7 linked regions of the Canis lupus familiaris genome follow. The protein of the gene in region 7 interacts with the protein of the main gene of each other region in a pairwise test. Links are inferred from orthologs where the notes say so. Each region holds a gene or a part of one and is shown on either strand. Other genes may lie near its edges. The genes, in order: PSMD9, HMG20B, TCEA2, TXLNA, HDAC4, JMY and CCDC136.

Evidence for each region.
Region 1: the proteins of CCDC136 (region 7) and PSMD9 interact in binary tests that used the Homo sapiens proteins (3 or more experiments, as listed by UniProt). The two-hybrid records come from large-scale screens. The link is inferred for Canis lupus familiaris from reciprocal best matches to the Homo sapiens genes CCDC136 and PSMD9.
Region 2: the proteins of CCDC136 (region 7) and HMG20B interact in binary tests that used the Homo sapiens proteins (3 or more experiments, as listed by UniProt). The two-hybrid records come from large-scale screens. The link is inferred for Canis lupus familiaris from reciprocal best matches to the Homo sapiens genes CCDC136 and HMG20B.
Region 3: the proteins of CCDC136 (region 7) and TCEA2 interact in binary tests that used the Homo sapiens proteins (3 or more experiments, as listed by UniProt). The two-hybrid records come from large-scale screens. The link is inferred for Canis lupus familiaris from reciprocal best matches to the Homo sapiens genes CCDC136 and TCEA2.
Region 4: the proteins of CCDC136 (region 7) and TXLNA interact in binary tests that used the Homo sapiens proteins (3 or more experiments, as listed by UniProt). The two-hybrid records come from large-scale screens. The link is inferred for Canis lupus familiaris from reciprocal best matches to the Homo sapiens genes CCDC136 and TXLNA.
Region 5: the proteins of CCDC136 (region 7) and HDAC4 interact in binary tests that used the Homo sapiens proteins (3 or more experiments, as listed by UniProt). The two-hybrid records come from large-scale screens. The link is inferred for Canis lupus familiaris from reciprocal best matches to the Homo sapiens genes CCDC136 and HDAC4.
Region 6: the proteins of CCDC136 (region 7) and JMY interact in binary tests that used the Homo sapiens proteins (3 or more experiments, as listed by UniProt). The two-hybrid records come from large-scale screens. The link is inferred for Canis lupus familiaris from reciprocal best matches to the Homo sapiens genes CCDC136 and JMY.

What each region holds. Positions count from the first base shown.
Region 1 is NC_049247.1:7,627,771-7,631,816, reverse strand, and holds the start of PSMD9 (26S proteasome non-ATPase regulatory subunit 9), read left to right. Parts: upstream 1-1,246; 5' UTR 1,247-1,331; coding exon 1,332-1,469; intron 1,470-4,046. UniProt on the Homo sapiens protein: Acts as a chaperone during the assembly of the 26S proteasome, specifically of the base subcomplex of the PA700/19S regulatory complex (RC).
Region 2 is NC_049241.1:56,240,175-56,244,393, forward strand, and holds the start of HMG20B (SWI/SNF-related matrix-associated actin-dependent regulator of chromatin subfamily E member 1-related), read right to left. Parts: upstream 2,801-4,219; 5' UTR 2,743-2,800; intron 2,464-2,742; 5' UTR 2,446-2,463; coding exon 2,408-2,445; intron 2,073-2,407; coding exon 1,964-2,072; intron 1,453-1,963; coding exon 1,249-1,452; intron 714-1,248; coding exon 593-713; intron 291-592; coding exon 244-290; intron 1-243. UniProt on the Homo sapiens protein: Required for correct progression through G2 phase of the cell cycle and entry into mitosis. Required for RCOR1/CoREST mediated repression of neuronal specific gene promoters.
Region 3 is NC_049245.1:48,351,186-48,355,313, reverse strand, and holds the start of TCEA2 (transcription elongation factor A protein 2), read right to left. Parts: upstream 2,801-4,128; 5' UTR 2,644-2,800; coding exon 2,572-2,643; intron 186-2,571; coding exon 123-185; intron 1-122. UniProt on the Homo sapiens protein: Necessary for efficient RNA polymerase II transcription elongation past template-encoded arresting sites.
Region 4 is NC_049223.1:68,414,254-68,417,753, reverse strand, and holds part of TXLNA (alpha-taxilin), read left to right. Parts: intron 1-484; coding exon 485-576; intron 577-2,871; coding exon 2,872-3,042; intron 3,043-3,500. UniProt on the Homo sapiens protein: May be involved in intracellular vesicle traffic and potentially in calcium-dependent exocytosis in neuroendocrine cells.
Region 5 is NC_049246.1:49,640,533-49,644,032, forward strand, and holds part of HDAC4 (histone deacetylase 4), read right to left. Parts: intron 1,587-3,500; coding exon 1,400-1,586; intron 344-1,399; coding exon 210-343; intron 1-209. UniProt on the Homo sapiens protein: Responsible for the deacetylation of lysine residues on the N-terminal part of the core histones (H2A, H2B, H3 and H4).
Region 6 is NC_049224.1:27,670,198-27,673,697, forward strand, and holds part of JMY (junction-mediating and -regulatory protein), read right to left. Parts: intron 2,896-3,500; coding exon 2,800-2,895; intron 395-2,799; coding exon 1-394. UniProt on the Homo sapiens protein: Acts both as a nuclear p53/TP53-cofactor and a cytoplasmic regulator of actin dynamics depending on conditions. In nucleus, acts as a cofactor that increases p53/TP53 response via its interaction with p300/EP300.
Region 7 is NC_049235.1:7,695,969-7,699,468, reverse strand, and holds part of CCDC136 (coiled-coil domain-containing protein 136), read left to right. Parts: intron 1-206; coding exon 207-347; intron 348-685; coding exon 686-844; intron 845-1,122; coding exon 1,123-1,293; intron 1,294-1,718; coding exon 1,719-1,904; intron 1,905-3,500. UniProt on the Homo sapiens protein: May play a role in acrosome formation in spermatogenesis and in fertilization.

The sequences.
Region 1 (4,046 bases), on a different chromosome or scaffold from region 7:
ATTCTGGGATCATGACCAGAGCAGAAGGGAGATACTTACTTAACCAAATGAGCCACCCAGACGCCCCCAGAGGGCTGTTGAATTGATACACATACGGCATTTAGAACAGTGTCTGGCACATTGTATGAATTTGGTAAGTTATTATCATCACTATTTTTGCCAAAATTTAAAGAGGTCTTAGTACGTAAGAGACATTGAGTAGTAACTCAGTTCTTTATCTTTCCAGCTCCTGGGACAGTGTATGACATATAGGAGACATTCAATAAATAGCTGTTAGCAAAATCACAGCCCTGAGATATCTATCAATATCCAATGATTTTATAGATGAGGAAATAGGCTCAGGGCAGTGAAGGAATTTACCAAGGTCATGTAGGTTGCATTAAGTGGCCAGAACCAGACTTGAACCTGAGCTTGTAGGGTCTGTAAAATGGGGAATAAGGGGAGCATCCGGCTGGCTCAGCCAGTGAAGCATGCAACTCTGGATCTCTGGGGTTGTGTGTTCCAGCCCCATGTTGGGTTTGGAGGTTACTTAAAAATAATAAAATCTTAGGGGGCACCTGGATGGTTCAGTGGTTGAGCGTCTGCCTTTGGCTCAGGGTGTGACCCTGGGGTCATGGGCTCTCCGCAGAGAGCCTACGTCTCCCTCTGCCTGTGTCTCTGCCTCTCTCTGTGTGTCTCTCATGAATAAATAAAACCGGGCAGCCCCGGTGGTGCAGCGGTTTAGCGCCGCCTGCAGCCCAGGGCCTGATCCTGGAGACCCTGGGTCGAGTCCCACATCGGGCTCCCTGCATGGAGCCCACTTCTCCCTCTGCCTGTGTCTCTGCCTCTCTGTGTCTCTATGAATAAATAAATAAAATCTTAAAAAAATAAATAAAATCTTTAAAAAATAAAAAAATAAAATATTTTAAAAATGGGGGATAAGGAATCTGAATGTGTTTCGTTATCTCTCAAGGGCTGGGTAGATTTGAGGAGCTGAACTGGAGCGCCTCGCACAGCGCTTTGGCACAAACATATGGTAGGCGCTCAGTACATGTCTACTGAATGAATGGAAAGCAAATGAGTCACCGAGGGAGAGATCATCCTGTTCTGGCTGGTGACAGACCTGGAACCCATTCCTCCCCAGACTGGTCTTCCCTAGTCCCCAGAACACTTGTCCCGGCGGGGTGTGGCTTCCGGGCGCCCCGCCCCCAGCAGGCCCCTCCCCCAGGTCAGGCTCGCTGACGCTCGAGGAAGTTTGGCCCGCGGGCGGAGCCGTAGCCACAGTCTCTTCCGGCGGCCGCATCCCGGAAGCCGGGGAGCCTGGTGTCCCGCATCCCGCGCCGAGGTCCAGGATGTCGGAGGGGGAAGCCAGGCAGGGCGAAGGCTCCCCGCAGGCCGGCGCGGTGACTGTCAGTGACATCCAGGAGCTCATACGGCGCAAGGAGGAGATCGAGGCGCAGATCAAAGCCAATTATGACGTACTGGAGAGTGTGAGTGGGGGCTCGGGGCTCCTGAGCGGGCGTGGGGGGCAGCCTGGGAGAATGGGGAGGCCGGGGCGGCCTGGGTTTGAGCGCTCAGCGGTGGAGCTCTCGCTCCCTGGGAGGCCCAAAGCGCGGCAACTGCGGCCTCTGTCGGCAGTAGGCGGTAAGCAACTAACGATAGCCCCTGAGAACGACTGGCCTAGTATAGCAAGCGTTCGTGGAGCTCTTACCCGGTGTTGGGCGCTTGGGGGCTGTTTTAATTGCGTTACGTGGTTAGCTCCTTTAACCCTCGCAGCAACTTTTTGAAGTGAGTTCTACTATTCCCCCCATTTTAGGGATGAGGAAACAGAGGCGTTACTTCAACCTGCCTCAGGCCACAGAGCTAATAAATTGTGATAATCACCACCATCGTTGGTGCTTGTTGAATGTGTACCAGAAGATCTGTGCTTTGCTAACTCACTTTACGTCAGAACTTCGTAAACTTTCATTATGTTTGGCAAGCACCTGGAGATCTTGTTAAAGTTCAGTTTCTGATGAGGACGGGGCGCGGAGGTGCAGATCTATTTCTAGCAAATTCCCAGCGATGCTGATGCTACTACTCTAAAGACCGAGCTTTGAGTGACAAGTAAGGGAACTGAGGCCCAGGGTGAGGCAAACCCTTGTCTAGGGTCATGTAACCAGAAGTGGCTGTGGTGGGGCTATTCCCAGGTCTGTCTAGCCCCCAAACTGGTAGTTTTTCTTATGCCAATTAGTGTAGAACCACAAATCAATTTGCAGAGGAAGAATAAATTAAATACATCCTATATAGGGTGAATGGATGCAATGCATTTTAGGTGATGAGAGTAAAATCCAAGCATCAAAAGACTAGGGTATCATGTTGCAGGGTGCTGATTATTATGCCTGAAGGGTGCTGGTTTGTGTGTATGTTATATCATGAAATCCACAACCACCTTGTGAAGTTTGTATGTTACCCAGCTCAGAAAAGAGAAGTCACTTGCTTAGAGTCACAAAATGAGATTCAGATCTCAGGCCCGTTTAATCCAGAACTTGTGTTTTCAAGCATTATGCTAACAATTTTCCAAACTTTACTTTTTACCTCAAGCGGGATGCTATATCCATAATATCTCCTGTACTACTATTCCCTTGGTATTTTTCTTTATATTGATTCACTTTTTTACTTAAATATGTTTGTCTTAAGTGAAAATTTTGTAACTTTACAGCATATGAGAAAGGGATTTTTTCCCCTCCCTTTAGCATAAGGTAAAAATGCATACCAAGGTGATATGTTTGTTCCTTTTTACTAGCTACAGTTATAGGCTGAAAGCTTTTAAGCCTGAAGCCCTCCTCTGTGATTGTTTTTTTAAAAAGGAGGGAGGAGCTAAAACCATAAATCTTATAGAATAAAGCATAGGAGTAAATTTTTGTGATCTTGGGTCAGGTAAAACCTCCTTAGATGTGATGCCAAAATCACAAGCAATGAAAGAAAAAGTAGATAAAATTTATCAGAATTTAAAACGTGTATCTCAAAAGACATATGTCATATGTCATCAGAGAAATGCCAATTAAAACAGCCATGAGGTACTACTACACATGTGTCTAAGTGGCCAGTATTCATCACAGTTCAACTCCGGATGCTGTTGAGGATGTGGGGGAACTCTTGATTCAGAGCTGCAAGTTTCTTGCAAAGCTAAACATTCTCTTACCATACCATCCAGCAGTTGTGCTCCATGGTATTTACCCAAAGGAGTTTAAAACATGTCTACGCAAAAATCCTCATGATGTTTCCAGCAGCTTATTTCGTAATTGCCAAGACTTGAAGCAACCAAGATGTCTTTAACTAGGTGGATAGGTAAATAAAATGAACCTCTAAACAGTAGACTATATTACTCACTGCTAAAAATAAATGGGCTAGTGAGCAATGAAAAGACCTGGAGGAACCCCAAATGCTTATAAGTAACTGAAAGAAGCCAGTCTGAGAAGACTGCATCTGTAGGGTTTCAACCAGAATCTGGAAGGGGCAAAACTGTGGAGACATTAAAAAGATCAGTGGTTGCAGGGATCCAAAGTGATGGAAGGGATGAATAGATGGAGCACAGAGGATTTGTAGGGCAGTGTAGGTATCCCATATAGGATTGTAATGATGGGTACATGTCATTATACATTTGTTCAAACCTGTAGAATATAAAACTAAGAGTGAAGTCTAAGGTAAACTATGGGCTTCAATAGGAAATGGTAGGTATAACCCAGTGGCTTCCAGAAAGAAAGGGAGAGAAGTGAATGGAATCCCTCATCCCAGTACATATATTCCCTGGGCAGCTTTCCTCTATGCTGACTAATAATTCAGCCATGATTTATTACTTTTACATGTATTAATTTCCTGGAGCCCCCATAACAAATTACTACAAACTGGGTGACCAGAGTGATGGAAATTCATTCTCTCACAGTTGTGAAGGCCACAAGTCTGAAATCTAAGCTGTCGGCAGGGTTGGTTTCTCCTGGGGGATCTGAGGGAGAATCTGTTCAGTGCCTCTGTCTTATTTTCTGGTGGTCACTGGCCATCCCTGGCTTTGGTGGTCTAACTCCTCT
Region 2 (4,219 bases), on a different chromosome or scaffold from region 7:
ATGGGGGGGTGGGGCAGCTACAACCCCTCTGGGACGTCCCTCAAGCTTGAGAGGGATTCCTCTGGCCGTCTGCATCGACGTCCTTTTAACAACATTCCCACCATGTGGCTGCCCCACGTCGGCTGGCACACTTGGAGGCCCGGCACTGCTTCCTCCCGTGAGAGCTGGCTCTGGCTCACCCAGGGTCTAAAGACCTCCAGACCTTTCTCACCCAGGCATGGTCCTAGGAGGAGGGGTACTTACCTTGTGTCCATTCAAGAGCGTATTCATGAGCCCAGAGCCCGAGTCCTCTGGTGGGGGAGGGAGGAGGGCAGGATCAGCCTGGCAGGGGCCCACACATTGCTTTGCAATGCAAGTGCTGTCCCCCCTGCCTGGGACCCCCCCCCCAGGTTAGCCCTACTTGTCCTGGGGCAGGCTCCTGTGAGGACCCCCAGTGTCTGTGTGCCCCCGCGTTGGCACTGCTCAGCCCTGTCCACCCACAGCTGTCTCGTCTTCATGGGACTGAGTCCCATGGAGGAGGGCAGGTCGGTCTGCCTGGGTCACCTGTCTCAGAGCCCGCACCCAGCTGCCTGGGGGCTGGGGCCCTTCCCACCTTTCTTGATCTTCTTTTCCTGGATCTTCTCCGTGCACATCTTGTAGGCTTCCGACTGCTGGTAGGCGCGCAGCTCCTTCATGTACTGCTGCTTCTCCCGCTCGGCCTCATCCAGGTACCGCTGGTGGGGGCAGAGGAAGGCTTGTCCCAGCCCAGGGGCAGGGGCGGCCGGCCTCCAAGGCCAACACCGCACCTTCCCACAGCTCCCTCCTTGGAGGTGAACCCGGCTCCTCGGCCTGCTGTGCGGGGCACCTTCCTCCCCCAAACTCTTGCCTTTAAAAGCCTCTCCCAGTTGTCTGAGGGCAGGCTCCCATCTCCAGGCTGGGCTGGGCTCCCACACCCATTTTGCTTGGTGAAATCCCACTTAGAGGGTGCAAACTGGTGGTGTGTTTTGTTTCCTATATTTTTGCAACTTTAATTAGCAGGATTTGAAAACCAAGAGCTATCACATAAAAATCCGGCCCCCACTCCTACTTCTTTAGACCTCTCCGTGTTGGTTATCAAGCTTTCCGTGGATTCCTGCTTATTGCGACCCTCCCCTCCTTCCGCCTGCTGGGGAGGGCTCAAGGGTGGTCAGTGCTCCCCGCGGAAGCCCTTTGGGGGATGTGGCCGCAGGGCAGTGTCCGAGTGGGCGGGGCAAGGTCAGTGGTCCCCACCTGCTTCTCCGCCGGCTGCAGCTTGCTCCACTCGGCACCCAGCATCTTGGTGATCTCGGGAAAGGGCAGATCCGGGTGGCGCGTGCGAATCTGCTCGCGCCGCTCGTTCAGGAAGCGCACGTAGCCGGTGACCGGTGCCTTGGGCCCATTTGGCAGGATCTTCTTCCGCTTCTTGCCCTTGGGCCAGCCGCGCTTCTTCACGGGCTGCAGAACAGTACCCACTCCGCGCCGTTGGGAGGGGCCTGGAGGGTTGGGGCGGGGCTAGAGGGCTGGGCGGGGCCTATCCTGGAAACCTGCAGGTATGGCTTGATCAAGGGCCAGAACTGGGAGAGGGCGGGTTTCGGGGAACGCCGGCCGCGCGGGTGACGGATCGGAGGTCCCGGGCGATCCCGGGCGCGGGGCATAAGGAGCCGGGTTGGGCCCAGCGACGGCGAGTGGGCGTGGCACCTGGCGTGGGCGTGGCTTCTCGCCGGAGGAAAGCCCCGCGGGACGACGGGAAGGTGCCTCCCACCGGACATTTGGCGGTGGGCGGGGCCTGGGCTCCGAGGCCGCGGACCTCCGGGGGCGTGGCACGCGGCACGGGGCGGGGCCTCAGCTTCGGGAGGAAAATCAGGACTGCGGGCGGGGCCGCAGCTAATTCAAATCCAGCCCGGGGTGGAGCTTCCAGGCGAGGGGCGAGCCCCAGGGCTGCCCCCACCACGGCGCAGGGACTCACCTCCTCCTCGTGGGACCCCTTCTCGCCGGCCCGGGGGCCCTCGCCGCGCTCCTGCTTGACGGCCACCACGAAGCCCCCGTGCGGTCCCGGAGCCTTGCCGCCCGCCGGCCTGGAGCCACGGGACGCCAGGGTCACCGCCGCCCTCACGTCCATCCCGACCGCGGAGCTGGCACAGAGGGGCCTGGGGCCCGGGGCCCGGGAGCAGGGCTCTGCGGGGGTCACTATCCGCGGGCCGGGACGGAAGCACGGGGGTGGGGGGCGGGAGAGACCCCCGGGAGGAACCGGGGCGGGGAGCTGGGGGCGTGCGGGGAGGTCCTGCCCGGCAGTGGGGGGAGTCAAGACCCGGGGGCGAGGGGCGAGGGGCGAGGGGCGACGAGCTCCGACAGGGAGGGCGGGGGCGGGGCTGCAGACCCGAGTGGGCTGGGGGAGGGGAGTCGCACTCACGCGGCGGCCGCGCCGGGCTGCTTGGAGCCGTGGGACATGGCCGCTCCCGGCCCCACCTGGAAGGCAGACGCGTGGCCGGGTGAGCGGCGCCCGAGCCGCCGACGGGCCGGGCCGGCGGGGGATCCCGGAATGCCGGGCCCGGGGTGTTTGGGGGGGCCGGATCCAGGGGCGGGGAGGCCCTCGAGGGCGGGCGCCCCAGGGATCCTTTGTTGGGCGATCGCCCCCCGGGAGGGCCGGGCCCACTCTCCCCCGGTCCGGGAGGGGCCCCTCCCCGGTCCCGGGACCCCCGCGCCCCCGCCCCCTCGCAGGGCCCCGAGTTCCGCGGCTGTTTTCACCTCCAAAGAAACTTTCCCGGACCTCTCGGCTGCTGCGACGCTCCAACCAACCGCCCCGAGCCCGCCCCTGCCGCTCGCCCCGCCCCCGGCATGCTAATGCGGCCTCCGCGAGCCGTCCGATTGGGTGCAGGCTTTCCCTGGGGCGTGGCCATGCAGATGAGGGTTGGCGCGCCGGCCGGCGATTGGCTGGGGCAGCCGCTGGGCCGCGTGGGAGGTGGACGGGGAAGGCCGCGGGCGGGTGCGTCAAGTTCGGCTGCGCTCGGCCGCTCTCGGGGCCAATCGGGGCGCCTTGGGGCCGCGCCGGGCGGAGCCCCTTAAAGGGCCAGTAGGGGCGGCGCGGACTCCTCCTCTCCCGGCCAAGGCGAGACTCCCCGCCCCAGCGGGATCCCGGGACCTGCCGGGCGAGATCGCGCCCCTCCCTGGTTGCCATGGAGACGGCGGCCGGTTGCTAGGGAAGGGGGTTAAGGTCCTTCCCCGCGGCGTGGCGGTCTCCCCCACCCCCCGCCCCAGGACGAGGTGGGACCTGTCTTCGTATCTCGCAAACCCGGCGGGGAAGTTACCCGCTAGTCCCTGAAGTTAGGGCCCCGGCGTCCCGCTGTGCCCAGCCCCGCAGTGCGCGGGCGGGGGCTGCTCTTCCCCCGGAGGCTCCGCTTTCCCTCCCGTGCAATGGGGACCTTGCACGATGTGCAGGACCAGGAGGCTGGGATGCCCGAAGCTGAGGCCCGGGGCTGGGACCCCGTGGAGATGGAGGGGCAGGAGGCTCTGCTCTGGGATCTGGGGGAGCCCCAGGCGGCAGCGTGGTCCTGTGGCCTGGGCTGGGACTTCCCCGACTCCCAGGATGACAGCTGCGGCCGCTGGATGCTCACGATGTCCCGTTAGTCCCCAAACAACTCTCCCACATCACCGCCCTGCCCTCCTCTGCCTTCTCCACCTCCTGATGCCCCTCACATACAAATAGGTCCCTTTCTCTCACTCCCGCCTCCAGGCTTTTGCACCTGGTGTGCCCTTTCCTCCAGATTATCCGCCTGGCTCATGGCTTGATCTCCTTCAGGTCTTTGCTGAAATGTCAGCTTCTCAATGAGGTTTCCCCCATACACCTTATTTGTTCCCCATGTGTTTGTTTCCTCTGCTACATAACAGTTTTGTTTTCAGTTTTATTTAAGTAAGCTCTACCCCCAACGTGGGCCCACCCAGAAATCAAGAGTCACATGCTCTATGACTGAGCCGGCCAGGCGCCCCCCAAAGAACAAAATTTTAACAGAATAAATTTGAAAATCTAAGTGGCTTTGTTGAGGGATTCATGGGTGGAGCAGTATCCCATCTAGCAAGTAGAAGGGGGCTCCAAAGAGGTGAACAAAATGGAAGGTTAGGGACGGCTGGGCTGCTCAGTTGTTGGTTCAGGTCATGACCCTGGGTTCCTGGGATCGAATCCGAATCCCGCATTGGGCTCCCTGCATGGAGCCTGCTTCTCCCTCTG
Region 3 (4,128 bases), on a different chromosome or scaffold from region 7:
GGGGGAGCCATGCTCAGATGCCCCCCGTCTTCCGGGACAACCAGGGCGGGGGCCTCCTCCAGGACGCACAGGCCCTGCCAGGCGCCAGGAGCCGTCCGGGCAGGAGGCGCGCAGGGCCCTACCTGAAGCAGGTGCAGCGTGACCGGCATGGCCTTCAGCTCCCGCAGCAGGTCCATGGCTCCCTCCTGGAAGGAGAAGGGGGACCTTCATAAAGGACTTCGAGGTCTCGGGGTGCACTGCCACCTCCTCCTAGCCACGAAGGCGGGGGGGCACCGGAAGTAACAGATTGGAGACCCACCCGGGGTCAGCTGCGCGGGGACGGCCAGCAGCTCTGCAAACTCAGCGCCAGCGCCTGGTCACTGACCAAACCACGGCTGCAGCAAACAGCTCCAAGGCCGGCAGCCCCGCCCGCGGGAGGACAGCACCCAGGTCGGGGGGGGGGGGGGGGGGGAGGCAGGGGTGCTCACTGCCCGCTCCAGGCCCAGACCCCTCGTGGGTTGCTCAGCCCCTCCTGAAGTACCTCATCACAGGCTGACGGGAGCCAACCTGGGCAAGGTCAGCGACCCCGACTGAGGCCAAACACCTCCCCCATCACATGCACACCCACCCACACCCAGATTGAAGTCCCAGCAATCTCTCCAGGCCAGCCACCTCCCCCACCTTGCCCCTGCCCACCCAACACCTGTTTCTTTAGAGCCCTCCCCACATCAAGGTCCTGCACAAACTGGCTGCTCTCTCCACTCCGGGCTCAGCTTTAGGTTCCTCAACTGTGCCAAGCTGCTTGCCCCAGGACCCTTGCACCTGCTGCTCCCACTGCCAGAGAAATGCCTCCCAAATATCTACAGTTCCGTACCCTCCCTCTTCCCAAATTTTATTCAGATGACACCTTGTTGACGCCCCTCCTGACCCCATCCTCCCCCACTTTGCTTTCTCCCACAGATGCTTCACTTGTTAACATACTGGTGTGTTTTAACGTATTGCTCTTTCCTTTGACATGAGAGAGCAGGAATCATGTGGCTCGGCTATCCGAGGTGGTGGGACCCTCGTGCCAGGCAGCCCAGGCCGCATCCCCTGCCATCTGCATGGCGCCTCTGCTCTGCAGCCCCGTCCACATCCCCCCCCCCCCACCCAGGAACATGCAGAGTCCAGCCCTACGGTGACCTCCTCAGGTGGGGGGGGCGTCCGAGCCAAGGTCACGGCGCTGCTCACTGATGAGCTTCCTGTGGCTCCAGACCAGAGGCACAAACCCAGCTCCCGACTTCCCCATCACCGGTCCCCAGGCCTCCGGGAGCCTCACGGGCACCAGGCACCTTCCTGGCCCGTGGGGCTGTCAACTCCCACGCCTCGGTCTCCACAGTGCTTCCACCTGGCCCCACCCAGCCCTCTGCGGGTTCCGTGACCCATCTCTGTCCCCACCTGGGGGGTGTTGTCTCCTTCAAGACAGGAAGCAGCTTCTTTCTTTGGTCATCTCTGCAAACAGCTAGACTGTCCCCCACTCCCTAGCTCCGCGCAGCCCAGGGCCTCCCAGGGACACGATGCCCGTGTGGGGAGGGGGCTGCTGCTCGCTGGATGAGTGGATGAGTGGGAGCCGGCCCCGTTTCTGGCCCCAGTGTAGGCCCCTGTCCAAAACCTGGTCAACAAGGACCCCAGGACAAGTCGGCTTAACACAAAAGAGTGCCCAAAGCGGCAGAGCAAGCGGTCGGTCTGGGGTGGCTGCGCGTGACGGAGCCGCCTCCTCCACCCTGCTACTCGCTCACAGTCCCGGGGAAGAGCGGGGTGTGTGTGTGGAGCCTCTCGGGGAGCCAGCCAGGGCCCCCCAGCACCCTGAAGGCAGGTCCCGCCCACCAAGGATGCTTCCACGGGAGGGCACGCAGGCTGTCAGGGAGGGTCTCGGAGCTCAAGATGGGCTGAAGTTGGAACCCCAACCCCCACCCCGCAGCACTGCCTCCTCCAGCCTCCGCGGCGGGGGCCCCAGCCCGCGGGGCCAGGGGCTCCATCACCAGGCCTGCCGGGTGCCCAGGCCTCCCAGGCCTCTATCCCTAGGGTCTCTGACATCTCCCCCCTCCCCAGCTGCTGCTGGCTGGGTCCCGGCTAGGGAAGGGAAAGAATTTATTAGGGAGACCTGGTTCCTGTGGGGGTGCAGATGGGGCACAGGGGCCTCTGCAGCAGGACAGGCCTCGGGCCTGCACACGGAGGGGGCGGGGGGCGGGCTGCAGGCCGCGGGGCGGGCGGGGCGGGCGGGGCGGGCGGGGCTCTGCGGAGAAGGCCCGGGCGGGGGCGGGGGCGGGGGCGGGGGCGGGGCCGGGAGGGCGGGGCGGGGCGGGGCACGGAGGCGGGTGTCAGGTGCGCGGGGTCCGGGTCCCGCGGGGCGGCCCCGACACGACCCCGGCCCGACCCGACCCCACGGCGGCCTCCGCGGTGCGGGCGCGGGGGAGAGCCGGGGGGCCCAGGGCAGGGTCTCCGCCGGGGCGGGGCCTCGTCCTGCCGCTCGGGGTCGCCCGGCCCGAAGCGGGCGGGGGTCGGCGGGGCGGGGCCCGGGGTCCCGGGGTCCCGGCGGCCCGCGCCCCTCACCGCACTCTTCTTGGTCACCATCTTGTCCAGCCTGCGGGCGATCCGCGCGATCTCCTCCTCCTTGCCCATCATCGCCTCGGGGGCAGGGCCCCCAGCGCCCGCCGCGCCAGCCTCGGCCTCCGGGCCCGGACCCCTGCCCCGCTCGTCGTCGTCGTCCGCACCCGTCGCAGCCGACGCAGCCCCGCCGCGGGCGGGAGACCCTCCGTTCAAACCCCCGGCCCCCGCGGTCGCCGCGCTGCTCCCTGGGACATGTAGTTCCCGCGGCCGGCAGCCTCGCGCGCTCGCCCCGCGCTGGACCACAAGCCCCGGAAGACACGCGGCTTCGCGTGGCTTTCTGGGATGTGTAGTCCCGCCGCGGGCCGCCGCAGGAGGCCGACGAGGACGGCCGACTCGCAGTCCCACAAGGCCCCGCGCGAGCCGGTGAGCCGGCGGAGGGCGCTGCGGAGCGCGGGGCCAGCGGGCGTCCCTCCCGGACCCTCCGCCCGAGCGGCCCGTGGGTCGGCTCCGTGGGGCCCGCGAAGGCGCGTCCGGGTCCGGCCGTCCCCTTCTCCGCCCTCTTGGAGTCCTTCTCCCACCTAGCGCTGTGCTGTCCCGGGGCAGCCGGGCCCCGCGGGAGACCCCGCACCCCACCCGCGCGCGCCCCCACCCCCACACGCCCAACCCCACCCCCGCGCACCCCCCGCCCGCGCCGCCAGCCGCACGCACCCCACCCCGCGCACCCCCACCTCCACCCCGCGCACCTCCCACCCGCACCCCCACCCCGCGCACCCCCACCTCCACCCCTCGCGCACCCCCCCACGCCCACCTCCACCCCCGCGCGCCCGCAGCCCCCACCCCCGCACTCCCACCCCTTGTGCCCTCTGGCCCACATGCCCCCCCCCAGAGGGGAGGGGGCTGCAGCCGGATGCAGGGTCTGGAAGAGGCCAGGGCCGGTTCCGGTTCCGAAGGTGCCAGAGGAGCCGCAGACGCCCCCGGGGCAGCTGCCGGGCATGAATCCCGCGCTCTGCACTTCAAACCGACCGCAGACCGTTGTGCCTCAGTCTCCCCATCTGTGAAAGGAAGGTGGTGGTGTCGTCCGCTCAGGGGGCTGCTGCCCCGACGGCAGGTGGTGAAGAGCGGAGAACGGGGCACGAGCACGTCAGTGGTCACCTCGGCTGCTGGAGCTCCTGTGAATGCCCGCTGCGCCCACGTGAGGGTGGCCTGGCTGCGGGGACAGCAGAGGAGCGTCCCCTCCAGACCTCGCCCCCTTCGAGGTGTCCCCGTGTGCCCTACAGCGGGGCGGGGCGCGGTACAAGGCAGGAGACGGATGTCTGTGTCCTGGGCCCACGGCCACTGACATGCGGGCAGGTGTGAGACCGGGCGGCAGAGAGGAGGACCAGACACCTGGGCTGCCAGGCTGCACCACACGGGAGCACGTGCAGACTGGCCAGTGGGGAGCAGAGCCTCCAGCTCGTACCCCTGGATCCTTCCCGTCGGCCTCCAGTGGAAGCATGTGGTTCCTCGGGCTGCGAATGAAGCAACGACCCACGTCTCGCGGCAGTACCAGGACTGAGCACA
Region 4 (3,500 bases), on a different chromosome or scaffold from region 7:
TTCACTCTTTGGCTACCACTGTTGACAAATGTTTAGTAGTTACCGAGGAAACCTATTCCTTTTTGCCTCCTTCCTCTTTCGAAAGGGCTTTCCTTGCATTGACACAGTAGCACTTAAATTGGCCATTGGGATGTCTTTTTTTTTCCTCCTGCTATTAGAGCAGGCAGGTTTTTTCTCCCACTCTCAGTGTTCACCATGGAGTCTCCACATAGACTCAGTTATTAGTCTATTAAGCATTTGTTGAGCATGTCGTCTGAGATGGGCACCAAAGACAATATGGAGCAGCACTGGGGCCACAGTAATAGGCTGAGTTCAGTTGGTGGTAACCCTCATGAACCACACGGTCTAATGGGATGACAGCCAGGTCAACAAACAGTATCAAATATGATAATGTAGGGCTGCCTCAAGGCCTGAGAGTGTGGGCCGAGGCCTGGGGAAATCCCCAGAGAAGGGGGTACATGATTTTGATCCCTGTGCTTTGCAGGGAAGGAGATCACGTTGCTGATGCAGACATTGAACACCCTGAGCACCCCAGAGGAGAAGCTGGCAGCTCTGTGCAAGAAGTATGCTGAACTGGTCAGTTCTCCCCCTTCTTCTTGCATCCGCCCTGCCTTGGAAAGTCAGCAGGCCACCTGGCATGGGGTTGAGGGTGCCGGGGCAGGTGGGTGGCTTAATTCCTATTCAGCCTCTCTCAGCCTTTTCTCCATCTGTTAAGTGGAGAGTCAAGTCCCAGCTGGCCCCTTCCATGTTGACTGTAAGAAGAAACCCTTCATATTACAGTGGTAAAACCATAGCTCCTGGCCCCAGTCCCACATACCATGTCATCTCACACCTGTGTGCCTCAGTGTGCATCTCCCCAAAAAATGCACAGTGCCATCCTCACATTTAAACTAACACTGATGTGATACTCTAATACGCATATTTCCCCATTTGTTTAAAATGTCAGTTTGATCAAATCAGGGTCTACAGGAGATCCATCTAATACTTTAGGTCCTTACAACTTTTTTTCCTTTTATTCCAAAATAGTCTTCATTTACTGCCAACCTTTTTCTCATGACATTGATTTACTGCAGATCAATCGCCCTGTGCCTCACTTCTTCGCTTTTGTGGTGACATTTAACTTCTTCCTTTACCTCCTTAGTTCCTGTAGATATAGGGGAAATTAACTCTAGAAGCTTGATCCAATCCAAGTTCAACTATTTTGATAAGAACTCTACATAAGTGGTACTCTGTAGAGAAAGTGTGTTCCTCCCACTTTTACTGATGGAAGATTGTCCACTGAGTTCAGGTGGGGCCAGCCAGGTTCCTCCCTTGTCAGGTTGCCATCAGAATTTGTATAAATGGATTAATCCACTGTGGGTCATTTCCTAACTACTTGTTTTTAAGTTCTTTCACTCCATTTTCATTTATTAGCTAGAATTCTCTAAGAAGTTTTTCTCATTTGTAAAATTGGGAAAAATCACACCTGCCTTGTGGGGTTGCTATAATGATTAAATAAAGGATAGGATATGAAAAAGATACCACCCCTTCAGAATGAGCCATCCAGGGAAAGATTGATGAAGAGAGCAGGAGCTGAGTGATGTTCTCAAGTAGAGAAGGAGCTAAGGGCCAGAGCATAAGGAGAAGGCTGGCTGTGTTGGGAAGCACCACTGGATCCTGGTAACCAGAGGAAAAGGCCGGTGCAGGTGGATGGGCAGAGGTGGAACTTATGCCCCTGTGCCTCTGGTTGCTTCCATTCTCAGGGAAATGAGAAAGATATTTTTTGCTGGGCCAAAGGAGAGCTGAGAAGGAGGAGGATGAAATAGTTCTCTGGAAGAGGAGTGTGACTAACATAAGGAATATGGTTAGGCCGCATGGCAGACGAGGGTCTTCCTCAAATGGGTAGTTAGGAATTAAAAGAGGTTCTTCTGCTTCAGTGCCTGTGCAGAGGAATCAGAGGTTGGGATATCAGGGTTGGGGTTTTGATAGGAAAAGGGGGCAAGAGAGTTGAGTGTAAGAAGTCTTAAGACAAGTATAAGAAGGTCAGTGATTATTTAAAGACACATTCAAGGAAAGTGAAAGGATAGTTGGGTCACTGGGTTGGAGGTCCAGTATGGTAGACTTTCTGGGGCCACAAATTTTGGATGGAATGAGCTAGAATGGTAGGGGATAGTGGTCCTGCCCTGGGATGAGATAATGGAGGGGTGTGTGCTTCTGGGTAATGACAAAATCTGGATCTGATGTCCAGGACAGTAACCATTAGCCAACTGAAATGTGGCTAGTCTAGATTTGGATGTGCTCTAAGTGTAAGATACAACTTAGGTTTCAAACACCTAAGGAAAGGGGAAGAAAAAATAATGTTCAATGACTTGAACAGTTGTCATTACATAGAGTTGCACTGTATCAGCGTTGACTAGGCTCATGGGAGGGTAGCTGATGTGGGGAAAAGACAGGGTCTGAGAAGGTTAAGATCTGTCCATAATGAAAAGGCCAAAATGATAACAGCAGTCATGTTGAGTGAAGTGGCGCTAAGTTTCAGAGCAGTGAAGAGGGAGTGACGGGGGTCTATTGAATACAAGGAGGAGTGGTAAGGGGTGTCATCTGAGGACATGAGTGTCACAAAGGTTGAAGGAATGTAATGGTCTGAGAGTCTTGAGAACTTCATCTCTAGAGTTAGAGTGGGGAGAGGCTGGGGTCTGCAGCCTCTGAATCCCTGCTTGTCGTAAGTGCCTGTTTCTGTATACTGGAGATGGAGCCCTTGGGTTTATCGGAGAAGTACATTAAGCACCCACACAGTGTCCAGCCAGAACTGTTAACAACTGGAGTCGGGAGAGGGCCGGGGTCCCTTGGGAAAAGCCCGACTAGGCACTTACTTGCCTTCCTGCTCCACAGCTGGAGGAGCATCGGAACTCCCAGAAGCAGATGAAGCTGCTGCAGAAGAAACAGAGCCAGCTGGTGCAGGAGAAGGACCACCTGCGTGGGGAGCACAGCAAGGCTGTCCTGGCCCGCAGTAAGCTAGAAAGCCTGTGCCGGGAGCTCCAACGCCACAACCGCTCCCTCAAGGTGGGCTGGCCCCTACGACTCTGGTTCCCTTGACTTCCACTTTTCCTTGGTGGGCTTTCCCCTTAAAAAGTAGCACGGAGGGATCCCTGGGTGGTGCAGCAGTTTAGCGCCTGCCTTTGGCCCAGGGCGTGATCCTGGAGACCCGGGATCAAATCCCACGTTGGGCTCCTAGTGCATGGAGCCTGCTTCTCCCTCTGCCTGTGTCTTTGCCTCTCTCTCTTTCTTTCTCTGCCTATCATAAATAAATAAATGAATGAATGAATGAATGAATGAATGAATGAATGAATAAATAAATAAATAAATAAATAAATAAATAAATAAAATCTTTAAAAAAAAAAAAAGGTAGCATGGGATTTTGGCAGAGAAATTGATTTCCCCAGTAACGCCCTGCCTTAGGGATAGCTGCCTGTAACCACTTGACCTGTCCCTGTGTCAGGTATGGTGAGGGAGCCCAGGAG
Region 5 (3,500 bases), on a different chromosome or scaffold from region 7:
GGGGGACAGGACAGGGGAGCAGGATAGGGGGCAGAAGGACAGGAGGATGGAGGATGGGGGACAAGACGGAGTGGGGCAGGAGGACGCAGGGACAGGAAGAGGTGAACTTCCCCAAAGGGAGGACCTGGGTGAGGGAAAGCAGTCCCCCGGGCAGATGCCCCTGGTGGAACTGCTCACAGCCCCCCGCCCCCGGCCTGGGCCCCACTTACCTCACACTTGCCCCGGAGCCCCGTCTCCTGCAGCCGAGACCAGATGCTCTGGATCCTGCCGGCGTGCTCGGGGTGGCTGTTGGTGTTCCCGCAGGTACACTGGTGCTTCAGCATCAGGGTGTCGTACACGAGGCCTGGACAACGGGGGGCCCAGCCACGGTCAGGGGGGCTGTCAGGGGTTCCCGGCAGCCGCCCACCACCCACCCGGGACGCTGCCTGGCTGGGGCCCACCACCGGGTCCTGGTGGGAGACAGCGGCCAACGGCGTCCCGTCCACCAGGACGATGTGTCAGATCCACGTTCCCCAGAGACCAAGGGCGGCCAAGAGATGGAGGCCGAGGCAGGTGTCCTGCTCACGGCAGGTGCCGGGGGTCCCCGCCGGGGGAGCGAGGCAAGGAGAACGACCCGGGAAGCCGCCGCCCCCACTCCCCAAGCTGCGCGGCCCCCGCGTCACAGGGCCGTGCTGTCTTCCCAAACTAAGAGCTTTAGCCCCAAATCCAAGTCCATCCTGTCAGGGAGCGGAACCCAGGAAGCAGCGCTGCTGCTGATCTGAGTCCCCTGCGAGGTTCTGGGGTCAGAACCAAGAGAGACCCTGGAACCTTAGAACCTTCCAGGGCAGTCGGGACACCTGCGTGACACATGCACGAACAGGCCAACATCAGGGTGTTCAAAGGGACGTAACCGAGTCCTGAACCCAACTACAGCGGGCCTGGGGGGGGATCAGCACCAGGGACCCGGGGCAATGGGGATGCCCCCAGGGAGGGTCGCCCAGCCCGGGCTCTGCTGCAGGGGGAACGGGGAGGCTCCTGCAGGGGTGAGGCAGCGAGGACAGCCCCACCCCGAAGGCGAGAGCCCTGGGGGGCTGGGCCGGCCTCACACCCTGGGGCCTGAGACCCTTGAGCCCCCCGGGCCGTGTGGGCCCCACACGAAGGGCCGATGAGGAAGGATGAGCTCACTGTCCCTGCGGCCCACGGACAGGCAGCCGCCCAGCCCGCCGGCTTGTCTCCGGAGGGAACATTCTCCGGCAAAGGCAAGGTGGGCTCTGGGCCAAGGGAGACGGCGGCATCAAGAAGCGGGAGGTGGGAAGGGGGCCTCAGTGACCGACGCATCTGGTTCCCCGGCCAGGCCCAGGCCAGGTGTGGGCCACAGGTGCTCAGCGCCGGACCCCCAGCCCCCAGCCCCTGCGCATACCTGTGGTGAACCTCGGTTTGGTGGGCGGCTCCTGCACAGACATGGGGAAGGTGGCAGACGCCGGGGAGGACTGTGCCCGCGACAGAGGCCGGTGGCCGCCAAAGGACACGGGGATGCCAGCGGCCTCCATGGACGCCTGGTAGTTTCTCAGCTGGTGGATCCGCTGCTGTTCCAGAAGGAGGGCTTGCTGGGGAGAGGAGACGCGGGGTTTGGGTGCTGCCAGGAAACCGCGGCTCGCGTCCAGCAACCCACGTGCCTGACCGTTGGCTCTCGTGGGTGCACAGCCCCGAGCTCGGCAGCCCACGGAGCCCCCGCCTGCAGGCAGCCCCCGGCCGGCCCCGCCCAGGAGGAGCTGCTCCACATGCCAGACACGTGCGTGGGAGCACATCCCGGAGTGGGAACGCGGACTCCACGGCTGGGTCCCTGCCTCTCCCCCCGCGCCCCCACCCGAGGGCAGCAAGACGCTGGCTGAGTGAGCAACACACGTCTGGTCGGGTTCCAGCCACCCGGGGTCGGCCGGCCGCGCCTCTCTGAGGGGGACCCAGGTGGACGGTCCCCAGGACCTCCGCCACCTCAACAAAAATCGGCAGGGCAAAAAGGACTCAACTTCACGAAAAACTCCTTTTCACAAAATGTGTGTTTCTATGACAAGAGTTGGTTTTGGTAAGAGCGCGACACTGCCAGGACCCCAAACAGGCAGTTTAGCAACTAAGGGATGCTCCGGCGCGGCCGGGCAGGTGGGCGCCGGGCGGGGACAGCCACTGCCCCACGCAGGCCTGCGCGCCCTCCACGAAGCCGCTGCCCCATGCAGACCAGCGCCGGGCCACGAGCCAGGCCGAGGCTTCAGGGACGGATCTCACATGCGAGGCCCTGCAGGGAAGCAGGTGCACAGCGGCCGTGCGGCCCCCGAGGGACACGGGGCCTCCCTGCCCACCCGCCTGACTTCCCCGCCTCCACGGTGCAGCGGGAAGGGGCAGGGAGGGAGAGAACCCAACAGGTGCCCGCGCCCCCACGGGCCCGGCTCCAGGCGCCTGGAGCCCCGAGAGCCCTGCCCCCCGACGCCGGTCACCGAACGCTGGAGGCCTCGACTGGTGCCAGCTGCCACACGAGCCACCAGGGGCCCCGAGGCCGCTCTGCTCACTGGTATTCCTGGATGCGGAGAACAAGCGTCCCTAACGGTCCTGGGTCTGAGCAGGGTAAGGATCGTTTTCTAAATAAAGGCCGAGCGCTCCACCACCCGCGAGACCCCAGCCCTGAACGCTGGGGGGCGCACGCTCCGCTCCCCCCGCAGGCTTCCCGGTCGCGCTCCGGTGCCGAGGCCGCGGCCCCACAGCGGTCGGGGACGGCCAGGCCCGCCGGGGCCCCATGCGCACCCAGCAACGGCAGCGCTTCCCCCGACACGAGCTCCCGCGCTCCGGTCCTCGGGGGAGCAGAGGCGGGCGCCCGGCGGGCGGGAACGAGGCCCAGACGTCAGAGCCGGAGCGGCTCGGGCGAGGAACAGGAGTCGGCAAGCACCGGCCGCCCGCGGCACCCCGCCCACGCGTGCCGTCAGGAGCAAGCAGCCTCCCTGCGGCCCCCAACACGGGGCCTCCGACTCCCGGGCTGCCCGTGGGACACGGCTCTCGCGGACATGGCGGTTTTCATCTTCATTATAAATCGATAAGTCATCAGATTTATCCACGCGTCACCTGTGAGTTTGGTTAACACGTGTCAGTGTCTGGGACTGGGTCCGCGTGTCACGGTTCTTCCGGCTCTTTTATGACATCGGTCACCACGGCCTCCGGGGCCGTCAAGGCCCTGCCTGCCTTCCTGATCAATGAAGACATCGATGTGCCTCCTCCTACCCTTCACGCCGCCGCCCGGTCCTACTGACACTCGGTAGCGCCTGCATTTACGTCAACTCACGGCGCACACGCCTGAGACCGTTATCTGCAGGGACTCGGGCGGGCGGGTGTCTGGCTGGAATACGGGCGCACAGATGCCCACGGCGGGCGAGGGCCAGGACTAGACGTCACAGCCCACCCGGGTCCGGCCAGGTAGGAAGGGAAGAGGCCGCTCGGTGCCATGCCTGCCAGCCCCAGGACACTGCCCCTGGGGGCCC
Region 6 (3,500 bases), on a different chromosome or scaffold from region 7:
GTGGTGGTGGTGGTGGTGGAGGCGGTGTTGGAGGAAGAGGTGGGGGAAGTGGAGCTATGGTAACAGAACCTGGTTCGAGGTCAATATTATTCAAAAGTGGAAGAGAAACAGTGGGTGGCAGTTCAGAGGTAACACCACTGAGAGGTAATGAAGTGGCTTCAAGTTGTGCTAATGAAGTATCTTCAAGTTGTGCGAGGCTTTGGGCTTCTGTTTTCTGTGATGACTCAAGCTTGCCTCTTCCTTCCTCCACCTTTTCACTTTTATCTTCTACCTGTAGCGCCCCTGGCAGAGAGTCACACTGCTCCTCACAGGGCACAGGACTGGCTGTGCTTCTTCTTCTTGCATGAGCCAGTCGCAATCTGGTTGATTTAAGTATGACTTGGCCAGGGTATCTCTAAAAAATCAGAAGGTATTATAACTGGTCAGATTACATTAAAATATTTTATGAGCAAACATTTTTCAAACAAGCATAACTGGGATCCCATGTGTTCCTGGGAAACCTTCAGTCCACATTTTATGATCCATTTTGTTTTTAGTGTCCTTGGCTAACACAGTCCTAAAGTCTCACAATAAGGTATTATAACTGGTCAGATTACATTAAAACATTTTATGAACATTTTATTTCCTCCTTTAGATGAAAGATGTTATTCTGAAGCTTTTGTGATTTTCGGAGAAGGTTCTTTAATAAAGTTATACAGATGACTAGAATACCAAAGCATAATACCTTTTGACAATTATCACTGAACTCTTTTGCTTATTAAATCCTGTCCCCTTTTATCCACTTAAGAAACCAATTGTTCAAAATTACCACGGGATTTAAAGATTAAAGATCTTTAAAGAACTTTAAATTCATTTAAAGAATGAATTATTATTTTTTTTAAGACTTTATGTATTCGACAGATTGAACCAGAGAGCACAACCAGGGGGAATGGCAGAGGGAGAAACAGACTCCTCACTGAGCAGGGAGTCTACCGTGGGGCTCAATCCCTGGACCTCAGGATCATGACCTGAACCGGAGGCAGACGCTTAACCAAATGAGCCACCGAGGTGCCCCTGAAATTATTAATTTAAATGAAAAATAATAGCAATGTAAGATATGAAACATAAATGCTATTGGTATACAGAAAGCTATGAAACTGTTAGTTTCTTACATGTATTTTCAAATACTTACAAATAAAAAAATTAAAAATTAATGTTCTTTTTAAAAACCATCTTGTGGCATTTAAAAACCTCTTGAGGGGATCCCTGGGTGGCTCGGCAGTTTGGCACCTGCCTTTGGCCCAGGGCGCGACCCTGGAGTCCCGGGATCGAGTCCCGTGTCGGGCTCCCGGCATGGAGCCTGCTCCCCGCCCCCCCCCACCCCGTGTCTCTGCCTCTCTCTCTCTGTGTGTCTACCATAAATAAATAAATAAATGAATGAATGAATGAATGAATGAATGAATGAATCTTTAAAAATAAAAACTCTTGAAACAATATGTACATTTTTATGATGGAAAGGGAGGAAGATTTTTTTTTTGAATAATGATATACAGAACTCTCAATCTATCTTTTACTATAGTAAAATCTAGCATTAATCCAGGGCCATGGGTTAGCCTGGCAAGACAACTGCCAGACCCTTTCTCATATAAGTTGATCTACTTTAATTATGCCAGGGTCACTTCCGTAGACTGTTATTATAGGTTATTATACGTGGTATTAATAACAAGGTGATACCTGAAATGGATAGTCAATTGTGAATTTTATAAAACTCAAGAAGAATCCAGGCTTGCCAGAAGCCCTGACCATTACTTTTATGCTACTGAAGTGGTAGACCAATGGCATGAAAATATTAATGCTGTACACAAATGGATTATAGGTATGAGATGCCTGCATGGTGCAGTCAATTAAACGACTAACTCTTGGTTTCGGCTCAGGTCGTGATCTTAGGGTTGTGAAACTGAGCCCAGAGTCAGACTCCATGCTCAGTGCACAGAGTCGGCTTAAGATTCTCTCTCTCTGGGAATCCCTGGGTAGCTCAGCAGTTTAGCGCCTGGAGTCCCAGGATCAAGTCCCATGTCGGGCTCCCGGTATGGAGCCTGCTTCTCCCTCTGCCTGAGTCTCTGCCTCTTTCTCTATGTCTATCATGAATAAATAAATAAAATCTTAAAAAAAAGATTCTTTCTCTCCCTCTTCTGCTCCTGCCCCCACTCTTTCTCCCAATAAATGATAAATATTTAAAAAACAAAAACAAAAAAATAATAAATTTTAAAAAATAAAAAACAAAAACAGAAACAAAAAATCCACAAGTGGAAGAAAGGTAGCCTTTTAATCAAACATTAAAACAAAAGGCAAATTATTTTAAGACTTTATTTGTGTGTATAAGAAAGAGAGAGAGAGGAGGAGGAGGAGGAGAGATTCTAGTGTAGACTGCCAAGAGCAGAGCCAGATGCAGGGCCCAATCTCAACCCTGAGATAACATGAGACAAAATCAGGAGTCAGACACTTAACCAATTGAGTCACCCAGGTACCCCTAAAATAATTTTCTTTTTGGTTTTATTTAAATTCAATTTCATTAACAAATAGTGTATTATTATTTTGGGGGTAGAACTGTGTTTCATCAGTTGTATATAACTCACCATGCTTATTATTACATCAAGTGCCCTACTTATTGCCCATTAACCCATTCCCCCAAGAATTATATTTTCTAAATAATAGAGGAAAAAACAAAGTTTTTCTTAAAATCTTACAATAGGAGTGTGTGTATATGTAGCTATTTAAAAAGCAATGAAAAACAATAAATTGATCATACTTTTATGTTACCTGTTTAAAATTTCGAAGTCTATCCAGTGTTCTTTGTCTCTCCTGGCTAACCCAAGCACTTTTTCTTTCTTCTTCATCGTGTAATTTTTCTCTCTTCTGGTAAAAAATTAATAGTAATTCCATTATGATGTGTCCCATTTATTTTTCTTAATTGGGGAAAAAAGTTCCCCCAATAAGTAAAATGGGTTAACTCCAAAGAATGATTCACTTTGCTTAACAAAGTGTTTTAATGGCATGAAACTACCAGTTTTTAATAGAAATCATAGTTTTAAAATTCACAATGATAGGAGAAAAACAATACTGTTTCGTTTTTTGCATTTACCTACAATTAAAGATGTTTATTCTGACAAGTAAAATCAATTATCACTGAACTAAAAATGTTTCATCTTTGGGTTTCTGACTTAAACAATTTAAGTATAAAATACTTATAGCTGCTATATTTTACTAAATAAAAAAGTTGAACATAATAAAAATAAAATCAGCAACAACCTGGCCTGGATTCAGATACTGCACATTAGTTCAACCAATATAATCAGCAGTTGGGGGCGGGGGGGGGGGGGGGAGCATTTGAAATAAACCAGAGAAAGACAAATATCATATGATTTCACTCAAAAGTGCAATTTAAGAAACAAATGGGGAAAGGAAAAGACAAGAGAACGGAAGAGAGAGTAACCAAGAAACAAATTCTTAACTTATAACAG
Region 7 (3,500 bases):
TACGGGGCTGACAAAGGAGGCATACACTATGGCAGGTGATAGTACTCTGGGTTCTCGTTTGCTTGCTCGATGGAAATATTCCAATAAAAGGAATGCCATATCCTTTCCAAGCCTATTCTTTTTTTTTTTTTTCTTCCCCAAGTCTAGTTTCGAAGTGTGTGTGGCACCTATCCTCAATCAGCCTTTCTGTTCCATCTCCTGCACAGTGTAAGGAATTGTGTTGTGAGTTGCAAGAACTACAGCATCATCGTCGGACCAGTGAGGAGGAGCAGAGGCGGCTGCAGAGAGAGCTTAAGTGTGCACAGAATGAGGTGCTTCGGTTTCAGACCTCTCCCAATGTCACCCAGGTAAACACTGATGGGGGAAGGGAGTATGGGGAGGGCGGAAGGGCCTCCGTGAAGCTGCTGCATCAGGGAAGGATGAACGCAGAGCAAGGCTGTGCTTGGCTGATTCTTGCCCTGAGACCAGGGGTACAGTCTACTGGAGACCAGTTGGACAAGTCACATAGCTTTGTGTTCTAGAAATGGTAGCCATTCCTGAATGTCTGCCTCAGAGAAGAAACCCAACCTTAGACCTGTGGGAGCTCTTCAAGATGTCTACGTCTGGAAAGGACCCAAACTGGTCTGTAGAGGGGTCTGCTGTTTCTCTTGAGAGTAACTGTTCTACCTACGTCCTCCCACCACAGAACGAGGAGCTGAAGACCAGACTCTGTGCCCTGCAGCAAAAGTACGATGCTAGCCAGGATGAGCAGAATGAGCTCTTGAAGGTGCAACTACAGCTTCAGTCTGAGCTCCGGCAGCTCAGAGTCTTGAAACCCACAGTCGTAGAAAGCCCAAACGAGAAGGTAACCACAAAAGGAGGTGAGGGGCAACTGAGGTGCTTAGAGGTTTTGGGGACGGTGGATCAGAGCAGAGTTAAAATAAGTCCAGCTGCCACATGCGCAGCACCACTGGTACGGATCTCCGGCCACCCTTGAGCACGGCGCTGGGCGAGAGGACAACTGGTAAGCAAGGGGCAGGGAGAAGTCAGGTCTTAGACCATCCGTGTCTGAGAGTGACTCAGGCAGAAGAGTGAACGGGTTGAGGACCCCAGAGGTACTGCCCACAGCCCCCTCCACCACAGGAGTTACTGTGCCGGCTACAGAAGTTGCAGCTTCAGTACCAGCACATCACGTGCGAGAAGGATAAGCTGCTAGAAGTGCAGCGACAGCTGTGCGGGGACCTGCAGTACCATGAGGCGGAGGTGCAGCGCCTCAAGAACGTCGTGGCCTCCTTCCAGGAGAGCAGTGAGAAGGTAAAAGAAACTCCAGGTGAGGGAGAATATAGCCAGATGGAATCTTCTGTGAAAGCAGTAGTACCAAAGAGGAGGGGGCACTCATGGCATTCTGTAGTATAGCCATTGGTATGGGGGATAAAGAGGTGCCTAGTAGAAAGGTGATTTCACAGAGTCATGATGCACGCAGCTTCCTTTGATTTTAAATCAGAAAATCAGCCAGTAAAAAGGTAGCTCTCTTTTTCTTCCCCATCTGCCCAAAAGGGAAGCCCCAGAAGGCCCCTGCGTCGAGCCTGTTAGGGTCTGGTCCATCTCAGGTAGCCCCCATTGGGATGAAATTGGGACTGGAAAGGACCAGGTAGGACCCCTTAGTCCCTGTCTGTGAAGAGAGAGTGCAGCTGCAAGGGCTTCTGGGATGATGGTGGGGCCTGCCTCCCCTACCCCAGAACGCAGAGATGCACGCCCAGCTTCAGGAGATGAAGCGGCTGTACCAGACCAGCAAGGAAGAGCTGGAGCGGCAGAAGCACATGTATGATCAGCTCGAGCAGGACCTCCTGCTTTGCCAGCAGGAGCTGAAGGAGCTCAAGACCACCCAGTCCATCCCAGAAGACAAAGGGAAATGTGCTAATAAGGTAATTGTAATTAAGAGAGGTGAGGTCTCCTGGGTACTTCCTCTGGAAAAAGGAGGTATAAGGGCAACAGGTGCAGTCATCCAACCAAGGGGCTTGATGAGCTCCCTGTCCGTCCAGTCACAGCTGGGTGTGCAAGTCAGGAAACAGAAGAAGAGTCCCATGCTATTTACTTTTAAACAGTTTGCCTTGATCTTGATTTTGAGCCCAAGCCACGGCCTAATAGGATCAGTGCAGCTGCATCCAGTCTGAACACCTGAGGGTTTTGCATGTGATTCCATATGTGTAGACACTTAGACCTTGTTATTAGAACTTATAGTGATATCTTGTAATTTGCAGAGAACATACAGAAAAGCCCACATGTGCAACTTTTATCATTAGACCTAGAAAGAGAAGGTCCAGTTTTCTCAGGCAGATTGCAGATGCTCTTGTCAGGTGATGTGGTCTTGTGCAACTAGACCAGGGTGCTGATTGGATATTAGAAGGACCTAGGCTCTTCTAAGGTTTCCTCTGTGACTTCAGAATAGAGAAGTTCTCTAAGCTTGAGTTTTACCCTCTTTAAATTGAACAGAATACTATTCCCTTCTTACTTGCTTTTAATAATAAATCCTGGTAGTGATAAGTGAGGCTTTCCTTATTTTCTTTTTTTCCATAGTGTATAAAATGCAAGTCATTATCAGTTATCCTTAGACCTTGTGTTGAGCACTTTCAGCTCCTGATCACTGATAGGAAATGGAAGATGTTGAAACATGATGGAGAAAAGGCACGAGATTCTCAAAGTATGGTAGAGCAAGTCACCTTTTGCCGGAATACTCAGTGGCTCCTATCACAGCCAGCAGCAGGCTGTGTCCCCAGGGAAAAGCCTTTGGAAGACCCAGAATGGGGAGCTTATCTGGACCACCCCAATGGTCCACCTGCCTCTCTATGCCCAGGTTCACATTTTCTTCTTCCATTCCCACTCAGTCTAGAGGCCAGAGTGTCTATGACTTGCTCACCCTCTCCTCTCCTAGTAGAAGAGACTACAGAGAGGGAGCCAGCTCGCTGACACAGAGCCAGCTTTTCCTCTTGTCCTAAAACAGCATTGAGATGAATTCGATATTAGAAGGTTTGGTTTCATGGAATCATGGGATAATTTAGTCTTTTCAATCCAAATTCAGCAGTAGCCCATATTTTTCTAGATATTTAAAAAAATGATAATGAAAACAAAAATGGGGACAAATCGGGTGGAGTTTTTATTGGTAAGAAGTATAATTAGGTATAAAACCAACTGGGGTTGGTAACAGTGACAGGAACCAGAACTCCCAGCAGGGCAGGAGAATGATCTTTACCAAAGGGAAGGGCCAAAGGAAAGGAAGGTGGGGACCTGAGAAGGGAGGGGTGTTGTTAACACTCCCTTCACAGGGCTCTCAGAAGGGGCCAGAAGACGAAATTTACAGCATAACCGGACAGTCCTGAGCAGCCTGCTGGGGTTTCCCATTTGGTGTCTAAACCCTCACGGGTGCAGCATGGCTTGGGACTGTCAGTCCAAGGGGACCATACAGGGAGGGAGCCTCTGGTGAACCACAAGATGCAGGAGAGCACAGAAGGGCTCTGCTTGCT